Linked DNA regions of Arabidopsis thaliana. The protein of the gene in region 2 interacts with the protein of the main gene of each other region in a pairwise test. Each region holds a gene or a part of one and is shown on either strand. Other genes may lie near its edges. The genes, in order: GPT, AT5G57345, AT3G66654 and AT1G14020.

Region 1 (5,495 bases), on a different chromosome or scaffold from region 2:
CCTTGTTTTAATATCCTCTGTTTTATATGTTTCTTCAGGTTTTCTCCGTGAATTTCTCTCCTAATGGTTATCACTTGGCATCTGGTGGGGAGGATAATCAATGCCGTATTTGGGATCTAAGAATGAGAAAGTCATTGTACATTATACCAGCTCATGCTAACCTTGTGTCTCAAGTGAAGTATGAGCCACAAGAAGGCTACTTTCTGGCCACTGCCTCATACGACATGAAAGTCAATGTAACTACTTCTATAATCCCTTGCCTTAGTATTTTTTTTTTTTTCAGTCTTCTGTTTCATTGGCTTATAGTTTGATTCCAATTTCTTATATTTTGTCTACCAGATATGGTCAGGAAGAGATTTCTCGCTCGTTAAAAGCTTAGCAGGGCATGAGTCAAAAGTCGCCTCTCTAGATATCACAGCAGATAGCTCGTGTATCGCTACTGTATCACATGATCGCACCATCAAGCTATGGACAAGCAGTGGAAATGATGATGAAGACGAAGAGAAAGAAACAATGGACATAGATCTCTAGTTTCATTTTTCATGTTTGTGCAAGAAAAAAAACTTGGGATCTAGGGATTTCGAGATTAGCTTGTTAGAGAAACTCATTAAATTGTATTTGATCTCTTGTCGGGAATTATAGAAACTCAGGATGCTGATACATTGTCTTGAAAATTTTGCCATTTCGTTCAACAAAAAGCAAATGAATGAACTTTGTTTACTTGAGAATACTTCAACACGTTAACAAAAATTGTTGATATATACGATTGTACAAGGTACTAAAGTAATGTTCTGTATTTGTGACTTCTCTGATTGCAGACTATTTATACCAACCAGCAAGAAAGTGTCGAAGTATGAAGCAGAAGGCGCAGGCTAGAGCCTGTAGCAAAAACAAGCAGAGTATGACAACACTAAAGCGACTACTTCATTATATACGAATGGCGATATACATATATCTGAGACCTACCTGGAAAACGAGAAGATGGATGCAAAGAGACTTTTCTGATTTAGGACCAAACAACCTCAAGTAAACATTGACGAGTGTCCCATCTTTTGTGCCGGTCAGTAATCCGGTAGCAGGATCATACCTGGATATTTTCAAAAGACAAGATGAGTGATGCGTCTGTTCTTTAATCAGTCTACAAAGGGTAAGAAAACAAAGGGGGTTACCTTGGGAGACGATGGCGCGGACATTTCACAATCCCAGCAAGCTGAAGAGTTATCATATATAGTATGTTAAATTTTTGAAACATGAGTTGACAAGATTATACGTATGCCATAGAAGAGTGAAAAGGTGATATGAACCTGAGGAAGCGATAATAGAAAGTTCAGAACTTGAGGAAGAAAGAAGATGAGGAGGGTTTCACTGCAGAAGCAAAATTTCAATACAGAAAGATGGCATGGGAATCAGTTGCATGGTCATACAGTAGCTGGATATATGATGCAAATGATCAATCTAAGAGTTGGTAGTTTCCATGTATTAGTGAAGTGCCTGTGCCTCAGAGAAGATAAGTGGGTTTGGAAGTATACCTGAAGTGACCCAGAATACCAACAACTGCCATAGTCATTCCGGCGAAGACTGTGTAAGTGTCTCCAACAAAAACTGAAGAAGGATACCTAACAGCAGAAGATTGCGAGAACTGGTCAGAAATATCATTACTTCCACTCAAAAAAAAAAAGTTTTAAAGAGAAAGCCTGCTAGGGATTTTACCAATTGTAAGCAAGCATTGCCAAGGATGTGGCCATCAGCGGTTGAGTAAGAAATATCGAGAAGGCATGAGCTTGGTGATACTCGGGATCAACAGATGCTCCGATTTGCATAACGTTGTGTATCAGGATCTACAGGTAACTGGGATGCATCATATCTCAACCCAAAAGAAACAAAATGAGAAAAATTCAGAGACATTATGTATGACCATAAGACTTACAGCAGCGGCAATAACAACTGTTTGACCGATTTCAAGGCCATTCAGACCAGCGTGGATGTTAATAGAGTTTGTACAAAAGACAGCAAGTAGCCCCATATATAACTTATATATCCTTCCTGCCACGTTAAAACATCTATTGAGCTAATCATAATCATTTACCTCCTCAAAAGAAAAATACAAGTCAATGTGTACAAATAGGTGGTATCATGTACAAGAACCATTACCTAGATTAAGCACTTCCAAGCCAATATAAGCAACAAGAGGTTTTGGTATAACAATAGTTGTATGACCAGCATAAGCCATCAAAAGTGGAAGGGTAGCAAAAGATGGCAGGACAAGCTTTCTGTTGTTTAAATTGACAACAGTAAACATGTGAATCAAAAACGATAAGCGTGAATTTCATCAAAAAAATATGTAGGAATTAGGACTTACACTCTCCAAGGCACATCAAGGACATCATCTACAAATCCAAGCAAAATCATGAAGCAAATAGATGCTAGTGCTGCATTATACTCCACAAGCCACTGCACAGAATCATCAGCCAGACTCACAAACATTGATAATGAGAATAACCACAGAGATTAATAAAACAAGACGTTAATGCACACTTACATTAGAATCTTCAGTGAAGTTAAAATACTGAAATATTATCGCCACGATCAAAAAGACAATACCAACAACAATACCCAATGACTCTGGCCTGAAAACAAAGAGGATGAAGAAATTTTAATCAAACTAATCTTAATCTTTGGAAAATCAGAGATTGATAAAAACTCACACTTTAATATCTCCTTGAGGCGTGCCTCTTTTGTTGATATCAAAACCAAACATGTTACGTCTCAGAACGTATCTGGCAGTAACAGGAATCATTTTGAGAGTGACGAAAAACCCAACCAAGCTAAGCCCCGCGTTAATTAGAATCGATCGCTTGAGCTCATTATCAACCTTGTAGTGAAAACAGAGAAGGTATAGATAGAGCGAACAGAGAAGAGTAGAGATCACGAAGATCACTCCTAATTTCGGCGGCGCGAGACGAAATTCCTCACCGGAAGCAGAAACCGTCTTTCGGGTCATCTTCTGCTCCGATGGCGCTGAGTTGGGTTCCGACGGGTCCGGTTTGTTGGGAATTGAGATCGATGAAGCTCTCTTACGAGCTGCCATGGCGGATTTGTTGGCTCGTTTCGTTTCCCCGCGCTCTGGATTTTGACTCCAAACTCCGTTCGCCTGAGAAAGGATTCTTCAGAGCAATTCCCGTTCTGCGTCATATAGACCAATAAGGATTTGCCACGTCGCTTCAAATACGACACCGTGTCATCGAAATAGAACTTTATGGATTAATCATAACTTTAATTATTCGTATTAAGTACAAGAATATATCTTGGATTATACTTATAGAACTCTCTTTTTTTAAGAAAAAAATGCATAAATTTTGCTAAGAATTTTGTTGTAGCAACACATCAGCATGACATAAAGCAACTATTAAAAATTAAAACTAAAACTTATATTTAAAAGATTATGTAATAATATAGTTATTAATTAATAGTCATAATTTTTAACAAAGTTTCTTTTAATATAAAAATTGACATAGAAAATTATTTATTTTGAAGATTTTTTTATTGATAAGATGAAGAAGATGATCCATGCGACATTTGCTCACTAGTTACGCTTCCATCATTGGGAGCTTTGAGATGATCATTTTGAAGAAGAACATTCAGATGAAATCTCTGAAGAAGACGTAGTGCTCACAGAAGAAACTTGCACACTACTTTCTTTATCCGTAGAAGTTTGAGAGCTACTAGAATTATCACTATTTTCATCTTTTGTTACACAACTACACCAGTTTCCCATTAATGTCCCTACAAACATAATAAAAAATGTTAAAGTTGCTAAATTATATCTTAGTTTTTTTTGTAAGTGTTTTCAAATTAACTGAATAGTACTTATTGGTCTGTAGGATCAGTTTCGAAAATGCAACAACCCATTGTAATTTAAAATAAGTTTTTGTAAATGTACCTTAGCTTGAATCTCCTCAGAGTTTGTTATGATCTCTAGCTACACAATTCATCTTTTTATAGTGAGAGAAAAATATCTCAAAATTCAATACAAAATCTTTTACTATTAATTACTTTTTTTTTTTACAAGATCGAATCGACCTATTATTAGAACTTGGATGCATATGGATCATGATTTATGTCACAAAAGTTTTGTGATATTTAATCATAATCTAAACATTTTCTATGTCTTCTACTATATTTTGACACTTGTGTGTAAGACATAAATGGTAAGAGGAAATATTATTGATAGTGTTTTTTTTTTTTTGGATTTGGGTCAAAAATATTGTGGGGGGAAGCCACGTGTACAAATAAAAGTAAAATTTAGTTAAGACAATAAATATGAGAGTTAATGTATGTATCTTAGAAACAAAAAAAAAATATTAAGTATGAAATATAAGGAAAGATATAGCAAAAAAAGTAAGAATAAATCAACATCTTATTATATAAAATATGGTTTTCAAAGTTATTAACTCATAAGATTATGCCACGTGTCAAGTCTATCGATCAGATGTTGCCATGTGTAAGAAAATAATTAACCATTTTCTTCTTAAAGAAATAGAAATACTAAAAAATAAATTAATTAACTTTTTTCTTCTTAAAGAAATAGAAAACTAAAAAATAAATCATTATTAACATATACTAATTCATATTTCTATATCTAAAAAATATTACATTTTATTTTTCTTAACCAAAAGAAAAATTAACAAAAAAAAATCTTATTATATAAAGTATGGTTTTCAAAGTTACTAACTCATAAGATTATGCCACGTGTCAAGTCTATCGATCAGATGTTGCCATGTGTAAGAAAATAATTAACTTTTTTTTTCTTAAAGAAATAGAAAACTAAAAAAAGAAATCATTATTAACATATACTAATTCATATTTCTATATCTAAAAAATATTACATTTTATTTTTCTTAACCAAAAGGAAAATTAACAAAAAAAATATATATATATGTTATTGGTCAAATTTTTAATATATATGGTATTAACAAATGTTTTATTATTATGAATTATGTTTTGTTAATTGTTAATAATTTTTAATATTAACTAAGATATAGATTTGATCTTATATATATATATTATTTTGACATGAAATCATTATCAAGTAAGATGAAGTGTGTAAAATTAAAATCGAGTTTTTTATGAAATAGATAGTTAAATTGTATTACAAAATTGAATGTATAAGATAAAATTTTATTTTTTCTTCTAAATACTAAATTACAATAAAGAAAAAGTGTGTAGGTTACTATTTAGACTTCAAATATCATCAATAAGATTGAATGGGTATAACAAAATAAAATGCATAAGACTACTATTTTACTATTCAAAATTATATATCAAGAACAATGTATCGATTATTATTTTACTATTCAAAATTTAAATATTATCGATAAAAATTACATTTACATCTTATACCCGCTTATTTAGGCGGGCTTTATCTAGTAAGAAATAAAATATAGATAACCAAGATATATTGTAACAACGTTACATGTCACGCATCCATACAGACA
Region 2 (4,656 bases):
TTTAGTTTAGATTCTTGGACCGATTCAGGTTATCCATAGCAAATTAGCTTTAAATTAATAATTATCCATAGCATAACAAAGTGATAATCGCAGGTACGAGAGCTACATAGAGTATATAATACACAGAAAATGATGATGACTCAACTCAAACATAGAAGCCAATATTGGACTGTTAACAACAAAGACCAACCCGGTTCAAGAGAGAGAACCGGAAGTTGTTCAGGCATAGACCTCGAAAATGTGGTTAGAGCAACACAAACGACGACGGATCATATCGAAGAGAGCGAACTCGAATTGACATTGAGCATTGGATTGTCTTCTTCATCTACTACTATGACCACGACAACGAACAAGGACATGGACTACTCGTCAACAACGTCAATGAGATCATCATCGGATAATTGTAATAATCAGAGCAATAATAATCTATATAATAACAGCAATAATAACCAAGAAAGTAGCGGACCAAACACGCCTATGAGCAGCTCAAGTACGACGTCGTTGGATCGAGAGAAGAAGAGACCTCATTGGCTCTTTCAAGGACTTAGTATTAACCGAACCTCTTCTTGATTTTTGTTAATTCACTGACTCTTTCTTTTTTCTTCTTCGTCTTCTTCTTGATTTTTTTATTTTCTTTTTGTATCTGATTTATCGTTATTATTATTTACGAGATTTACTGATTTCACTTTTAGCTAGGTCTAATTATTCTTCTTCGTTAACACTGATAAACCATTGACAAAATATACCAATGTTTTCTTTATATTTGGTTGCTTAAAGAATTTATTTTCACTTGCTTTCGGAGACCAATGAGGTCATACACTAGAACCTAAAATATAAAGAATGAAGGAAAAACAGAGAAAATTTGTATATAAATTTAGTATTTGGAGGTGTTTTCAAATTGCCTCTATTAACTTTAAGATGGGTCTTTAGTTACTTATTTCAAGATTTCCACATATATCCGTCTTCTTCCATCATATTTTTTTACACAAAATCGTATGTATGACTATTGTTACATAAGCCTCTCTCCGTTTTCTCCTCTAATAGTCGTCTTCGTCATCTTCATCATTTCTTGATCGGAAAAAGTTTCTAGCGACGGCTGAAGCGGCTCCAAAAAACATGAAGAGAAGTAGGAGGTCAAAGCCACCGCCAACACCTACTGCCACCGCAGGACCAGGGGCAAAAAAGGAAAACGGTGACCATCCGTAACCTCCGTAACCATATCCATAGCCACCGATCAAAGGTGGTGCAACCTGAGGATTCACGTAGATGTTGGTCCTGCGAAAACAAAGCTGCGTTTAGAATGCAAAGGTACTAACTACTAAGACTAAAGTCGTGATTATATAATGCAAACAGAAAAGCCTAATGCATTGAATCAAGTTATTAGTGTTGGTCGTTGGGGTATCTTGGATTCGAATTGTAATTATGGGGTTCAAAATATAAAGTGTAATAGAAAATTATAAGAGGCTTAAAGTTTACTAATGGGCTTTAATGTGGATATGAGGCTGCTAAAAGCCCATACATGGAGTCTCTTGTAAGAAATCTCAATTAAGGTCTTAATTTAAATATATACTTTTTTCGCCAGTATTTTAATCATATACATATTAAATAATTAAAATCGAGATTAGAGCTTCAAGTAAAAAATTTTACCTTGATCGATTGTTAATTCTGGGAGGAGGACGAGGAGCTGAAGACCGAAACGCTTGACCGCCGATTCTTCCACCGCTTTTGGCCGCAAACGCATCCCCAACACTTCCCAAAGCCAAAACGCCAACCGCTAGCGTCGCGATTGCCAACTTCGCCAGCTGATTTTCATTTTTCCTAATCAATAGATAAATAAAAGATTGAATAAGACCAAACCCGAGTTTAGAATCGGAAAAAAATTTTCTAAAGGTAAATAAAAATTACCGAGAAGAATCAGTTTCGTCGTCGTGGTGTGAAGATTTACAACAGATTGAATTAGGACGAGTGAGGTTAACATTGGATTTGGGTTTAAAACTGTGTTGGAAACTGAAATTGTTTGACAAAAAGCTTTGTCGTGAAGAAGCTATGGCGGCGAAATACATTTTTGTTTTGTTTCTGGTGATTTGGTCTAAAGCTCTTTTTTCTCTGTTAAAGATCCTTCTCGTCTTCTTGGTTTTGTTTTTGTAGCTCTGGGTTTGTGATAAAATGCTTGCCACGTGGATTATAACTAGTGGCCTACTCAAGAACACACATGTATTCCACGGATTAATGATATCCACGGATCAAATCGGTCTGACGAAATTAATCGAACCGGTTATTCATCTAACCGGACCTAAATCTGCTTTTGGTTTAATTAGAAGATATTTTAAGTAGTAAAGATGATATCATCTCATAAGAAAATTGAAAGGTGAATTTATAAATATTGTTATGTTCACATAATATCCAAAAACAATATCTATTGAACTTTTATAAAACATAAACGTATTAAACCTATGATATTAGTATCTTCTCTTTTTTATTCAAGAGAGGGGAAACAAAAACACATGGTTATAATTAAAGTCTAAAACCATGAATAAGGAAGGAAGAAAAACCCCAGGAGTTTAGAGGAACTTAACATACACAGAAAAAAAACCTTATTCTCTTGTTATAAAATCATCATCATTATCATCTCTTAAACAAAAGGATCTTCTTCTTCCTTAATCATCTTCTTGTTAAATCTTTATTAAACGGTGTAGTGACCAGCTGTCTCAATGTCTAGTCCCTTTAGCTTCACCACTGACTCTACATGTCCTTTAAGCGTATGAAGTTCCCTAAGCCTGTAAACAAAAACCCTAACGTTAACTTCTCTCACAAGAAACCGAAATTACTTTTTACAAATCATTTACCTTGCGATCTCAGCTCGTCTCTTGGCTTGATTTGCAATCTCAGACAGTTCTCTGTAACCACCTCTCTCCGGGACAACGTTGGCTGTTTCAGTGTTCTGAAGACCGTGTAAAGTCCTTTGTGCATGAGCCCATTGTGCTTCCCTCTCCTCTATTCCATAGTTTTGCTTAGTGGTAAACGCAGTCTGTTTTTTCAAAGACACAGAGAGATTTTGTTTAAGTCTTAAAATCACATTTCAGAAGAAGAACTAAGAAGAAAGCAAAACGTACCCTGTTGTCAATGATATTCTTCCAGGCTGTTCCGGCTAGTATGTAACGGATTGCGAATTTCATTATGTCTAATGGAAAGTAGAAGACAATACTGTAAAGCCAGATTACTCCAGCCCATCCCCATCCTATTCCTTTGATTCTTGCAAATTCCCAATTACCGTAAACCGCAATAGCCGTTGCAATCTACAAGGTCAAAGTTTATGAATCAATCATTCAAGAGAGTTTATAATCAATCAAGAAGATACAATGCTTACCAATTGTGCTACCCAGAAAGCAATTAGCAAGAAATATCCAGGTCGTTCTGTAAAAGACCAGCTTCTAGATCGAGTGACGAATATAAGAGCTTGGCTCACAATACTGACTTGTAAGTATAAAGCAGACATCATCTCATGTTCACTGCCTCTCAAGTCTCTCACGTGGAATGTTCTCTATAGGAAACAAACAAAGTTAATGCTTGTGTGACAAGGAATCTAAAGAGAGGTTGTTTATATGTTACATACCGGGAAGAAATCGGTTTTGTATGCGGCCCAGAAGAAAACAACAGTCATTATAGCCATGTAGCCTCCAAGAACAACGCCGGTTGCGAAGATTTCTTTGAGTTTCCAGCTATCTGGTGTTGGAGAAGGCTTGACTCTGTCCTTTGAGATAGTCATGATGGTTCCTGTTGCGTAAGTTAATGATGTGTTAGTCGATTAGAGCCAAAATTTAGAGAGAGCTTTTAAAGAGAAGAAAAAAACTCACCATCGTTTAATATAGCAATGATCAAAACCATGAATGGTGAAAAGTCGAACTTCCATATTAGAGCAATGAGCATAAACCCAAACTGTGAAAAGGCACAAAGTGAGAAATCATATAGAAAAAGAGATTATTTGATGATATTCAAGAATACATACAAGATTGATTACTTACCACTATACGAATGGTAATTGAGACTGCATATATCTGTTTAAAGGAACATTTAAAAACACCATGAGAACAAGTTATCATGGTGTAAAGATTCTAAAAAGGTTATGGTTTAAGATTAAGAGAACACTCACTGTGTAGTTCTTCATTCTCTGGAAGATGGCTCTACTGGTTAGAACCGCGCTGATGATCACACTGAGACCTGGCTCGGTGAGGACAATATCAGAAGCACCTCGTGCAGCGTCAGTTGCATCCGCCACAGCGATACCTATATCCGCTTTCTTCAATGCTGGAGCGTCATTCACTCCATCTCCAGTCATACCACAGATATGCTTCCTTTCTTGCAACTTCTTCACAATTTCGTATTTGTGCTCTGAATGAATTTGGTAAAGAAAAAAAAGAGACCAAATGTTACAGAGAGAAGAGCAAGTTTGTGTTTGTGGAAACAAAAATGGCTCTTAAACAAACCTGGGAAGACTCCAGCAAAGCCATCAGCTTTCTCAATCAAATCCTCAACAGGAATGTGAGCCATGGCTTCGTCTTTGTGTTTACCGAGTAAAGAAGAGGATGGGTACATGTTTGATCCCATTCCAAGTCTACGTCCTGTCTCTTTCGCAATAGCAAGTTGATCACCTATAAA
Region 3 (5,777 bases), on a different chromosome or scaffold from region 2:
GGTAGGAGAAAGATTAAGATGGAGAAAGTGCAAGACACAAACACGAAGCAAGTTACCTTCTCAAAACGTAGGCTGGGTTTGTTCAAGAAAGCGAGCGAGCTTGCGACTCTGTGCAACGCGGAGGTTGGTATTGTTGTCTTTTCTCCAGGAAACAAACCGTATTCCTTCGGGAAACCGAATTTTGATGTGATTGCAGAACGGTTTAAGAATGAATTCGAAGAAGAAGAAGAAGGAGATAGCTGTGAAACATCAGGCTATAGTAGAGGCAATAGAGCTAGACAGGAGAAGAAGATATGTAAACGCCTCAACTCGATTACTGAAGAAGCTGAAGCTGAGAAGAAACATGGTGAAGATCTTCACAAGTGGCTTGAATCTGCTGAACAGGATAAGTTCAATAAGCCCATTGAGGAGCTTACGCTTGAGGAACTCAAGGAATTTGAGGCTAAGATTAAGAAAATAAGCTGTGGGATCCAAAGTAACATTAGTCATATGCAGGCTTCGTCTTCTCTCATGTTTCTCTCTAATGATAATTAGCAGTTATGCAAATGAGAAGGCAACAGTAACAACACCGATTTGGAACTTTCATTTTGTATTAGTCGTTATAGATTTATATGGTAGAGATGTAGCAGATGGTTGGTACAGGTTTATTGATTGTATCTTCCTCTTGATGATCGATGGTTTGTAACTTTCGGTTGCCAAATATTACTATGAAGATTTTCTCTTTTCAAAAACAATGAATTATAACAATATCTCCTACTCTACAAAATTGATAATGATTACGATATGAAATTTTAAAGCGTTATTTGTTTTTTTTTCTCTTATATTATTATAGATTTTGTCTACACACTCTAGATATTTATCTTTAATTAGAAAAAAATACATAAGAGTACACCAACTAATTAACATATTTATAAATGTGTTTTTAACATTTTTAAGTTTTAGTCAAAATAGTATCAAAATACATAATTTGATGTATGTCCTATATATCTTATTCCAAATTATTAAATATTACCTAAAACAAAAATACAGTATTTTTGTAATTGTATTCTATGAATAATTTAAGAATTCCTTAAGAATTGTTTAAGAATTATTTTAGAGTTTTTAAAAGAAATCTTGTAGAGATTTTTAAGAATTCTTAAAGGATTTGTTTCTGGTTTTTCAGATTGTTCTCCATATCTTCTCATATAAATTTTAAAAGACCTCTCTTTTTCTCTAATAGTTTTATGGTACTTAACGGGTATAATACAGAAGTTTTTCTATCATAACAGGATAAAATTCTCTAAAATCAGTTCATGTATTTGCTCAAGTATCAGAAGCATAATTAAACAAAGATTCTATTTCCTCGAGAAAAATCAAATAAAATTACAAAACAACAAGAAACTGTAAAATAGAAAGAAAGAAAAAACCTCAAAAGAGGATTTATACAAAAGAGCGAGTATGAAGAAGGATTTGGCGTGAGCCTCATTTACAGAGGAAGCAAGGAAGAGAAATTTTCATTTCATGTCTCTAGTTTCAGTACAACACCAGTGATCCCTATTGGCGATTTCGGTTGGAAATGCTCATCCGTATCCACTTCTTCGATCTCCTGTAATAATATGATTTAATCTTTTAACACATGAAACTATTAAACAAACCATTCAAGCTGATAGACTGTGCTTAGTTGGATCAAACCTGTACTACATCCTCTCCCTTAAGGACTCTTCCAAACACTATAAGTTGATCATTCAGATCCGGGATTGGGGCCGTTGTGATCAGAAGCTCAAAATCCTTGTTGTTCCCTTTGTTTTTTGGTGTTCCCAACATGAATGCCTCATGTTTTGGGCTGTAACAGAACATATGTAGTTTTTTATTTTTTAAAACCAGCGAGAGATGATAAACATTGACACTTAAAAGCCAAAAGCAGAGCAAGCAAGTTATACCCAATGTGAAGGCGACCTCTGAGCTTTCCTTTAGCTGTCCATTCTTCTACAGGTATAGAGCTCGGTGAGTGACCAGCTTGTACCAAGTAGTTCTTTATAACCCGCTGAAACGGCATTCCCTTGAAGTGATCTTTTTGACTGCAACAATACTCAATGTTCAACTTCTACTATTATATTAAGCTACAATATCGTCACAGACTGATTCAGCCCATTTCTCTTTAATGAGGTTTCATGTTCCAAACAAAAATTCCAAGAAGAGTACAAGAGGACTTAAGGATCAAAATCAGTCAATCAAGAAACTAAAGCTACTTGAATCCTATCAAGCTAGAAGTAATACTCCTATTTAAGAACAAGTCATGACCTAGCTTAATCAAATTACTCTACTGTTCTTTTTCTATCTAACTTAAAGGAAAACAAACGAATTCCAATACTAACCATAGATCTAGAAACTTGTCCACAACTTCAGGGGAACCTTCTTTGAAGAGTTCGACAGTTATAAGTCCTTTTGATGTGTTTATATCCTACATGAGATAGGAAAATAGAAGCAAGATATCATTAAAATCAATATTCAGATAAGACACATCACATTTTTTTTACTTCAAAAACTGATGAACAGAACATAATACCATGATGAGAAATAAGAACAAGGATTAAAACAAGAAACTTAAGCAAGCAAACAGGGAGATTAACTTACAGCAAAACCAGGAAGATCGTAAGTTTTTTGCCCTGACGCAGTATTAGTGTCCTGAAGCAGAAACCAAAGCCAGATCACATATGGTAAATACCCTAAACTCTAAACCTAAGTGCTCGGAAGTTCATCAGGATCAAAACTCAAAAGCTATACATTAAAAAATCTCTCAAGAAAATACCTCAAATCTCTGACTCCGAGTTTCATGTTCAATTGTGTTTCTTGACCTAGGAGATATAACCAATGATATCCTTTTTAGTTTATAGATAATCACATAAAGTAAAAGGAGAATCTACTATAACAGAAGTAATGAAAAAGGAACAATTCAAAGATGAAAACAAACCTTTGGGACCAATGGCGATAGGTTGTGACCAACGATAATATGACTACAGCAACTACAAGATTACAGACAATAATAGTGGAAATACTTATGCGACTTGGACCCTTCTTCTTCTTGCTTTGATTTAGAAGAGCCTGCGGTTTTATCTTCGCCATTGCACCTTAGTTTCGCAGAAAGCAAACGAGGGATACAACTTGTCTCTGCAAACCATAAATCAACAGTAAGTGACAAGCAATCCAGAAAACAAGTATACACTACACAAAAACTCCAAATTCGTATCTGTAAGACTATAATTCAATTTCAAGTTGGTAAAATCAAAACTGCAATAAGATTAAGTTGTTACCCAACTGAAGAAACCCTGATATCACGTATTGACCAGATTAAAAATCTAGCATATTTGAATGAATAAACGCATGTGAAAATATCACAAGGGTTCATACATAGCTTGACCGGTAACTTCCGATACACCAGATCCAGTACTTTTCCAATTATCGATCAAATTGAAATAAATTGAACAAAAGTGGATATGAGAAACGGAGCAGCTTATCATGTTCCAATCAAATAATAAACAGATCTTTCTTTCTATAGAAATCCAAAGACCTGAAAGTAAAATCAAATGAATTCCAAGGACTTTGATTGCTTCATTGGGTTCTCGAAAAACGTACCTGGAAGTTAGAGAGAAGAGAGGAATCGTGGAGATTGGTCGTTGCGTCGATGGAAACTGGTTTGAATTCTCTGCTCTCTTTTCTCTTTTGCAGAGACGCTTCAGATCAGCCGCGTGTTTATCCGACGGCTACGAGTCCACCTCACCAATATCCGACGAATATTATTCCACAAACAAAAATACAAAAGTTGATCATTTTTGAAAAATCGTATAGTTCGGTCTGGTTTTCTCATGAAATTATCTGGTTATCTATTTGACCCAAGAAAATGATTCTAAATTCAAAAGAAAGTAATTTTACTATGGTCTAGTGGTTATCACGTTAATCATACGGTTTCCGCCCTAATTGTCACTGGTTTGATCCTTCGCTGCATCATTTGATTTTGCATTACACATACTAAACTGTAAATATAAATAAGCATTGGTAAAAAAGTCAAATTTTCTACGTAAACACTTACAAAAGGGAAAAAAAAAATGCACAAGCAAGATCACTTAAAAAAACCCAGGTCACAGTCAATTGTTCGGTTTTGTGATTTTCTTAGCCACTTTTTAATTGATCGGTTTAGATATAGCCTACCATCAATAAACCGTTATTGTGTTAACCTGAAACAAGCCATCCAATATGATCTTTTTAACTTGCACACCATCTCCTCTTTCTAACTGGCCTCTGTTGATTAGTAACATCGGCTTTAGCTCTCAGTTCAGTTTGAGATTTGAATGTCGCTTCTACCGCCAATTTGGTTCCCTTGAACCTCTCCCTCCGTTTCTCCATCTTTTTCAGACTCTCTTGTATACGTTCATTGTCTATTTCAACACCTTTCACTTCTTCTATTATCTCGCCTTCTTCTTTGTCATTTATATCTCGATTCTGCATAGCTTTCTCTTCGCTTTTGCCCATTAACTTTCTTGGTTTCTGAACATCTTGTTGCTCGATTGTATCTCCGCCATTGGAGAATCTTTTTTTTGATTGGTTAGAGACCTGAAACACACACACAAAATATCTATCACATGAGAAGGGTCTTGTTCTTCATTGTACACTAACTGATGTCTAAATATACGGATGTGAGCAACATAAAACCTAAGTATAGAAGACAGACCATATAAAGTGATAAAACAGTCAGAAATAACACAAAGAAAATCCAGGGATATAAATAACTGAAAGGCGTTTATACTTCATTCAAATATAGGTTTAAAAGCATGTAGATTTAGTTTCCCAATCTTTACCTTTCCTTGCCTACCAGCTAAGTCAACATGATCCTGACGCTTGATGAAAGCATGCCCATCTCCTCTCAGCTTCTTGGATCTGTGATGTCTTTCATCATTTTCATGAATATGGCTCTGTAAATATCCAAACCTTTGTTTGGTCGCCATCCGATTATGTGTCGGTACTCTTATGTCGCGGACAAATATCTCATCAGTATATGATGGATGCTCAGAATTAGAAACTTCTCTCATTGAACATTGCATGTCATCTGCCATATTATATCTTCCTCTATCAGGACCAACCCAATCAGCATCATACTGTAGTCTATCTTTTACGCTCACATTATGGCTACGACCAAGATTCTGCGTCCAGCCATCTCTCGGTGCAGCCTTATGAAAATGGTTATTCTGGCTGTCATATGCTTCAGGTGTTCTGAAGTCTCTGGTATCATCTCTCCGGAAATCACCTTTTGCTTCTTTGGTATACCAAGAATCTCTCAAAGATAAAGACGGTGAGGACCAACCATCTTGGATTCTATACTTATAACCATCTTCCTCTGAGACAAATCTATCAAGATGCCAATCATGAATGTAATGATGTCTTTTCTCTATTTCAGAGAATTCCTCATGTCTTTTATACCCTTGATATTCTCTCATTTCCACTTCAGCAAAAGAACGCATCTCCCTGTACGCCAGCTCAAATGGAATTCTACTTTCTACCCTGTGAACTCCATCTTCATATCTATCACGATGCAAATTATAATCGTATCCACCCCTTCTTCTGCAATAAAGATCATTCTCTGGACTGTGCTTGAGGTTGTGTATTGCATGTGCAGACGAGTTCTCTGACCGGTACCTATAATCCATGTCAGTAATCGGTATACAGTCCTCATAATAAGGTTCTCTTAGCCAATCACACCCATTTCTTTCTTTGTAGTTTTCATATGCTCGGATAGGACTTCTTTC
Region 4 (5,502 bases), on a different chromosome or scaffold from region 2:
ACTGTCTACTTAGTTTTCTCCCTCAAGAGTGTAAGAACAAGCCCTTTAATACTGTTTGGATGATCTCTTCCATAGGTATACATTCAGTACGATCTGAACAAAAGCAATGCAGAACTTGCTCTCGACTATGGTTTTGTGGAATCAAACCCTAAACGGAACTCATATACTTTAACAATAGAGATACCAGAATCAGACCCATTCTTTGGGGATAAGTTGGATATTGCTGAGAGTAACAAGATGGGTGAGACCGGATACTTTGACATAGTAGACGGCCAGACTCTTCCCGCTGGTATGCTTCAGTACCTTCGGCTTGTGGCTCTTGGCGGTCCAGATGCTTTCTTATTAGAATCTATCTTCAATAACACCATATGGGGTCATCTTGAATTGCCTGTAAGTCGTACAAACGAGGAACTCATATGCCGTGTTGTCAGAGATGCCTGCAAATCTGCTCTGTCTGGTTTTGATACGACCATTGAAGAGGTATATATGTTCGAGCTCTTACTTGTACTGTCTTTGCAGCTTAACACTCATTTCTTACTCGTCTTCATCGTCTGTTGTAGGATGAGAAGCTTCTGGACAAAGGAAAGCTTGAGCCTAGGTTGGAAATGGCTCTCAAGATAAGGATTGGTGAGAAGAGAGTGCTTCAGCAAATCGACCAAATCTTCAAGGATAGAGAGCTTGAACTTGACATTTTAGAGTATTACCAAGAGAGAAGGCTCAAAGATCTTGGGTTGGTTGGCGAACAAGGGGATATTATCTTCTGGGAAACCAAGTGAGAATTAGCTTAGCTTGTATAGCTTATCCTGCAGAACAAACTCAAGGCTAGAAAGAAAATCTTTACTGGTTTGGTCTCAGACCACATAGACTTGAATCAACCTCAAGACATCAGAGTTGAGAGACCACAATTTGTATGTTAGGCTATTGCCAAAAGCAGGCTTTTTGAAATTCTATAAGATGAGACATAATCTTCTTTTTAGTTACATCTTAATTTACGTAAAACTAAATAAATCAAGATCAGCAACTATGCAGGAAAATTGAAAAAAATTACAAACAAAAATGGAAAAACTCAGGGAAGGAACTATGCAGCTCCCGTTCAAGTGTTTGACATGCCGTCCTCTTGCGGAAGCAATGAGATATAATATGCTAAAAACATGACTTCAATGTGTTAAATTTCTATGGCCAAACAGGTCGTGGCAATTTGTACCTTCACAAAGACATTCTTGAGGATTTGCGTAGAAGTAATCTTCCTCCTTAGGTTTGTCAGAGATTACTCTTCGATGAGTAGGTGCTCCTGCTCGTCTCTCATGGGCTTCCTTGACTGCTACTGCAAACTGATCCCACGTGAGGGTCTTGTTGTGATGTAAGTCTAGTAGCTCCACGAGTCTCTTACGGTCAAGCAGGATTGTCTTCTTATATCCAAGGTATCTGCAAATTCAAATCAGATATAGACCAATAATGGTTATATAGAATCACAGGTTTGGTTATTCTTAACACCACCTTTTTAGTTGTCATGAAATTGAATGCATTCGACACCACAAATAATTTACCTACGATGACCTTCCACGACTTTTGCCATGTTTCCATCATACGTAGGAATAAAAGTGTTGCTGGCCACAGATACCATGAAATCTAGAGCAGCCATTTGAGACGAATGGTTCTGAAACTGTTGCAGCTCTGCTGACTCCAATAGCATTTCCTTCTTTACCTATAACCACAGGTGAGTAAAACTGATAAGAAAAAGTGCATTGTAATGACGATGCAGTTGAGCATTCTTTGTAGCAAGAAAAGGGAAACCAGGACTGGTAGACTCACAATTCTCGGGAATGCTTCCCTTAACACGGATAGTCTATGCTCGCTCCCATAAATCTCACCAGCTGCAATGTATATCTGTGTATTTTTCTCAAATCCCAACGCTTTTAATACCAAGGCCACCTCCTCTGGCGTCAAAGGACACAGCCCTTGCGCCCTCCTCTCCTCTGAGACTATCTCCTTCTCTCTCCACCAGGGATATGTGTACCTAAAGAACACAGAATGGACCTATGAATTAACAACTAAAAAGACCTATAACCAGAGCACCAATTCAGGAGAAATCTTTTGAAGAGAAACCTCATCTTTTTTAGCTCTTCCGCTTCTTCCTCAGTGCAACCATGAGTGCAGCCAGAGAAAGCTAACATGTCCATCTCATATCTCAGATGCAAAGCCACAAATGGCCCTCTTTGTTGTAGAATCCGAACTAACTTAGATCCCAAAGCCTCAAGCTGTGGAGTGAACTTTAGTCCCTGAAAATTCACCCGGCACCTGAGCCACTGGAGAGAGAGCGGAAGACCATTGTTTGCCAGGCGGGTATCAGTCCTATTGAAGTGTACAACTTTATGCTTGCTGAAGAGAGGCAATACCTGAACAAGAAATTAACCAATCACATATGCAAATGGTTAGGTAATATCTTGTAACAAGGATAGTCAAAGGAACCAAAACAGCAAAACTAGTGATAAACAAGACAAACCTGCTTCAAGTAATATTTTTCATCAGACCAGCTCACAGGAGGCATTTCGAACATTTGATATCCATACTTTCTACTAAACCGTTTAGGAAGCCTCCTTAAGATCCGAACTTCATCTCTTAATGAATCAATGAAATGTCTCACATCAAAAATATCCTCAAAACCACTGCAAACAAAAATGAGGATACTTTAGATTGCTAAAAAATGTTAAGCATATAAGACACATGAGTGATTCTATAAACACCAAAGATAGAGTACCTAGGATCAGCCCAGAAAGATGTTTTGTCAAGCTCTGGAACAACGAGAGTGAGATTCAATAACCGAGCAACAGTCACCATATCACATATCTGAAACACAACATAAAAATCAGAATTTGGAAAAACATCAAATCTGAAAGAAGAAGAAAAAGAGAATTAAAGCAAAGTCACCAACCGCGGATCGCATTTGATTCAATCCACCATTACAGGATACAAGTAGAATACCATTGCTTGTATAATTCCCTGCACAAAATCAACAATCTCGTTAAACTCTCTCAAGCACCAACGAACCCTAATGTCCCCTAAATAGAGAGAAAACTGACTCGGAGGAGGTAGAGGAGGTGGCAATGGAACTGGCTCAACAGGGGCTGAGAATCTAGAAATCTGATTGGTTAAACCAGTGAAGATCCGGGAATGCCAAAGCTCACCGGCGGCGAAAAGCTGAACCAAACACGTCCAAACCAAAATGCTGGAGCAAACTCTAACGAACCATACTTGTACACGAGGCTTCGGAACTGCCGGCGGAAGCGGAAGCTTATCGCTTCGCGCCTGAGTAATATTACTCTCCGATCTAACTTCCATCTCCCTCCTCCGACGATCGTCGTCGCCGCTTCATGAGAATAAAATTACTATAACCTAAATTTCTCCGATCTTGTGAGATGTCAGAAATTGAAATTAGATGACAAACGCGAAATGAAATGCTTCTTCTCTCCTTTGTGTCAAATGGTTTGAATCTCGAGGAGTTTTTTTTTCTTTCGAAATTCAGAAGAAGAAAAAAAAATCACGAGACGGAAAAAAAAAAAAAAGAGGTGGTAACGGTGAGAGATGGGAAAATAAGTTAATTAACCGTCAAAGTGTCTTCTTCTTCTTCTATTTATTGTTTTCCCAAGAAACTCATTCTATTGCTTACACAATTTATTTCCTAATTCAGAAAGCTTCAATTTTCCTAACTTGTTTCATTATATATATCATTAAATGTCAAAGATTATTCTATAACCAAAAAAAAAAAAAAATAGGTTTCAAGGATAATGATTGATCAGAAAAACATATGATAAATAAAGATTTCAAGAATATTCAACATTGAAAAACATATAAAGAAAGATGACACATTTTGCCTTTTTGATAGTCGTTGTCATTCGTCAACGGATTCACCTAATTGTTCTCCCGTACTTTTTTTATTACTGTCATCTATTTATTGCACTAATCACGATTCAAACCACTGTTTATATTCATCTCCTTTATTCAGATATTTTCAAGCTGTTGTAAAACAAAACAAAAACTGAAACGAAATCATGACACGTACCTCAATGTTGCATTATTAACATCCCTTCCAAGGAAAGATTACTATTTTATTCTTTACTAAAAACTCGAGTACAATTGTCTTTTCAACAAAATTTCCCAATTAAGTTTAAAATTAACATTACCAAGTCATATGTAGTTATGCTTGAATTATAAAATCTGGATGTGTTATTTGTTTCTTTATTTACTTCTAACTTACTTTAGTGTGATCCACTACAAGTATATAGGTCCAACATTATTAATGGGCCTTAATTTTAAAGCCCAATTCCAGAGGGTAGTACTCCACGTGTTTTAACGAATGAAATACTAACACGTGGCAATGCACGTGTTGACTTTCTTTTGTTTCCTTCCTTCCGTTTAACAAGAAAAATAGCTAAACTTTGAAATCCGTCAGATCGATTTCTCTCTATATCGGAGCCGTCATGAATCATCGTCGGAGCTCGATCGTACTATTGATCCTCTCAATTTTATCTCCCGTGACACTCTCTATACGATACGAGCTACTTTCTGGGCACACGAAATGCATCTCAGAGGAGATTCACGCAAACGCAATGACCATCGGAAAATACAGCATTATAAACCCTCACGAGGATCATCCTCTTCCTTCTTCCCATAAAGTCACCGTCAGGGTAATAATCATCCGATCGGATCGCATTTCCCTTCAATTTCTTCTTCCGGCGATTTCAGTATAATGCAATGTGTTTGATTTTTAAGGTCACATCGCCACAAGGGACGGCTTATCACGAATCGGACGGAGTAGAATCGGGACAATTCTCGTTTGTAGCTGTGGAAACAGGGGATTACATAAGTTGCTTCTCCGCCGTCGATCACAAACCAGAGACGACGCTGATCATTGACTTTGATTGGAGGACGGGTATTCATACCAAGGATTGGTCGAATGTGGCAAAGAAGAGCCAAGTCGAAGTAAGTTTTTCGCTTTTTCTTTACTCTTGAAGTCTTAACTTAGTCAAACTAATCTCTTTAGAGGAAATAGATTTTGATGCTTCTAATGACATGAACAATAGAGCATTGCGCCGGATGTGTGAGAATTTGATAGCTGCCTAAGTTACACCAAGACATAGTGCTGGAAAGTGGAAAGTTATATCTGAAGTGAGAAATGCTATGTAGTCTTGGTTTATAGGTTATGTTGGTGCATTGGTTTGGTTAGAACAAGGCCATGAATTAAGCTGACAGGGCTCGTGTGTTACTGACCTGTGTCTGCAGTCTTGCATATGAGAAAATAGCTTCATTAGTTTCACCTTTGAACCCCATCGATTTCTTCAGCTCATTCAGGAGTTCTTTCCCTGCTAAATGAAGGTGGATAGGACTAGGCTTTAACAGACGCAGAAAATTACTATCTTGAAATGTGGTAGATAGGACTAGGCTTTAACATACTACAGAGCAAGACTAGCTTGAAATGTAACATAGCCTCTTAAAGAGATTGCA

Evidence for each region.
Region 1: the proteins of AT5G57345 (region 2) and GPT interact in a protein complementation assay, tested with the Arabidopsis thaliana proteins (one large-scale study listed by BioGRID).
Region 3: the proteins of AT5G57345 (region 2) and AT3G66654 interact in a protein complementation assay, tested with the Arabidopsis thaliana proteins (one large-scale study listed by BioGRID).
Region 4: the proteins of AT5G57345 (region 2) and AT1G14020 interact in a protein complementation assay, tested with the Arabidopsis thaliana proteins (one large-scale study listed by BioGRID).

What each region holds. Positions count from the first base shown.
Region 1 is NC_003071.7:17,299,355-17,304,849, reverse strand, and holds GPT (UDP-glcnac-adolichol phosphate glcnac-1-p-transferase), read right to left. Parts: upstream 3,279-5,495; 5' UTR 3,089-3,278; coding exon 2,706-3,088; intron 2,628-2,705; coding exon 2,540-2,627; intron 2,452-2,539; coding exon 2,360-2,451; intron 2,271-2,359; coding exon 2,152-2,270; intron 2,044-2,151; coding exon 1,928-2,043; intron 1,839-1,927; coding exon 1,711-1,838; intron 1,617-1,710; coding exon 1,530-1,616; intron 1,366-1,529; coding exon 1,305-1,365; intron 1,211-1,304; coding exon 1,170-1,210; intron 1,088-1,169; coding exon 967-1,087; intron 880-966; coding exon 820-879; 3' UTR 639-819; downstream 1-638. Other genes in the region: LIS (WD-40 repeat family protein / small nuclear ribonucleoprotein Prp4p-like protein), read left to right, coding at 39-236, 340-531.
Region 2 is NC_003076.8:23,228,525-23,233,180, forward strand, and holds AT5G57345 (uncharacterized protein), read right to left. Parts: upstream 2,226-4,656; 5' UTR 2,064-2,225; coding exon 1,906-2,063; intron 1,819-1,905; coding exon 1,648-1,818; intron 1,276-1,647; coding exon 1,038-1,275; 3' UTR 767-1,037; downstream 1-766. Other genes in the region: AT5G57340 (ras guanine nucleotide exchange factor Q-like protein), read left to right, coding at 94-570; HA3 (H[+]-ATPase 3), read right to left, coding at 2,684-2,777, 2,847-3,028, 3,114-3,296, 3,368-3,541, 3,614-3,774, 3,855-3,936, 4,023-4,055, 4,151-4,389 and 1 more.
Region 3 is NC_003074.8:2,086,019-2,091,795, reverse strand, and holds AT3G66654 (Cyclophilin-like peptidyl-prolyl cis-trans isomerase family protein), read right to left. Parts: upstream 3,881-5,777; 5' UTR 3,613-3,880; exon of another isoform or gene 3,148-3,612; 5' UTR 3,103-3,147; coding exon 2,951-3,102; intron 2,835-2,950; coding exon 2,789-2,834; intron 2,665-2,788; coding exon 2,614-2,664; intron 2,441-2,613; coding exon 2,355-2,440; intron 2,058-2,354; coding exon 1,920-2,057; intron 1,823-1,919; coding exon 1,672-1,822; intron 1,586-1,671; coding exon 1,499-1,585; 3' UTR 1,255-1,498; downstream 1-1,254. Other genes in the region: AGL91 (AGAMOUS-like 91), read left to right, coding at 1-534; AT3G66652 (fip1 motif-containing protein), read right to left, coding at 4,240-4,587, 4,833-5,777. UniProt on the Arabidopsis thaliana protein: PPIases accelerate the folding of proteins. It catalyzes the cis-trans isomerization of proline imidic peptide bonds in oligopeptides.
Region 4 is NC_003070.9:4,800,767-4,806,268, reverse strand, and holds AT1G14020 (O-fucosyltransferase family protein), read right to left. Parts: upstream 3,550-5,502; 5' UTR 3,340-3,549; coding exon 3,081-3,339; intron 3,001-3,080; coding exon 2,933-3,000; intron 2,848-2,932; coding exon 2,759-2,847; intron 2,667-2,758; coding exon 2,504-2,666; intron 2,397-2,503; coding exon 2,107-2,396; intron 2,018-2,106; coding exon 1,813-2,017; intron 1,706-1,812; coding exon 1,548-1,705; intron 1,426-1,547; coding exon 1,158-1,425; 3' UTR 894-1,157; downstream 1-893. Other genes in the region: LSMT-L (Rubisco methyltransferase family protein), read left to right, coding at 76-480, 561-776; AT1G14010 (emp24/gp25L/p24 family/GOLD family protein), read left to right, coding at 4,479-4,685, 4,771-4,980. UniProt on the Arabidopsis thaliana protein: Glycosyltransferase involved in the formation of rhamnogalacturonan I (RG-I) oligosaccharides in the seed coat mucilage, which is a specialized cell wall with abundant RG-I. Transfers the rhamnose residue from UDP-beta-L-rhamnose to RG-I oligosaccharides.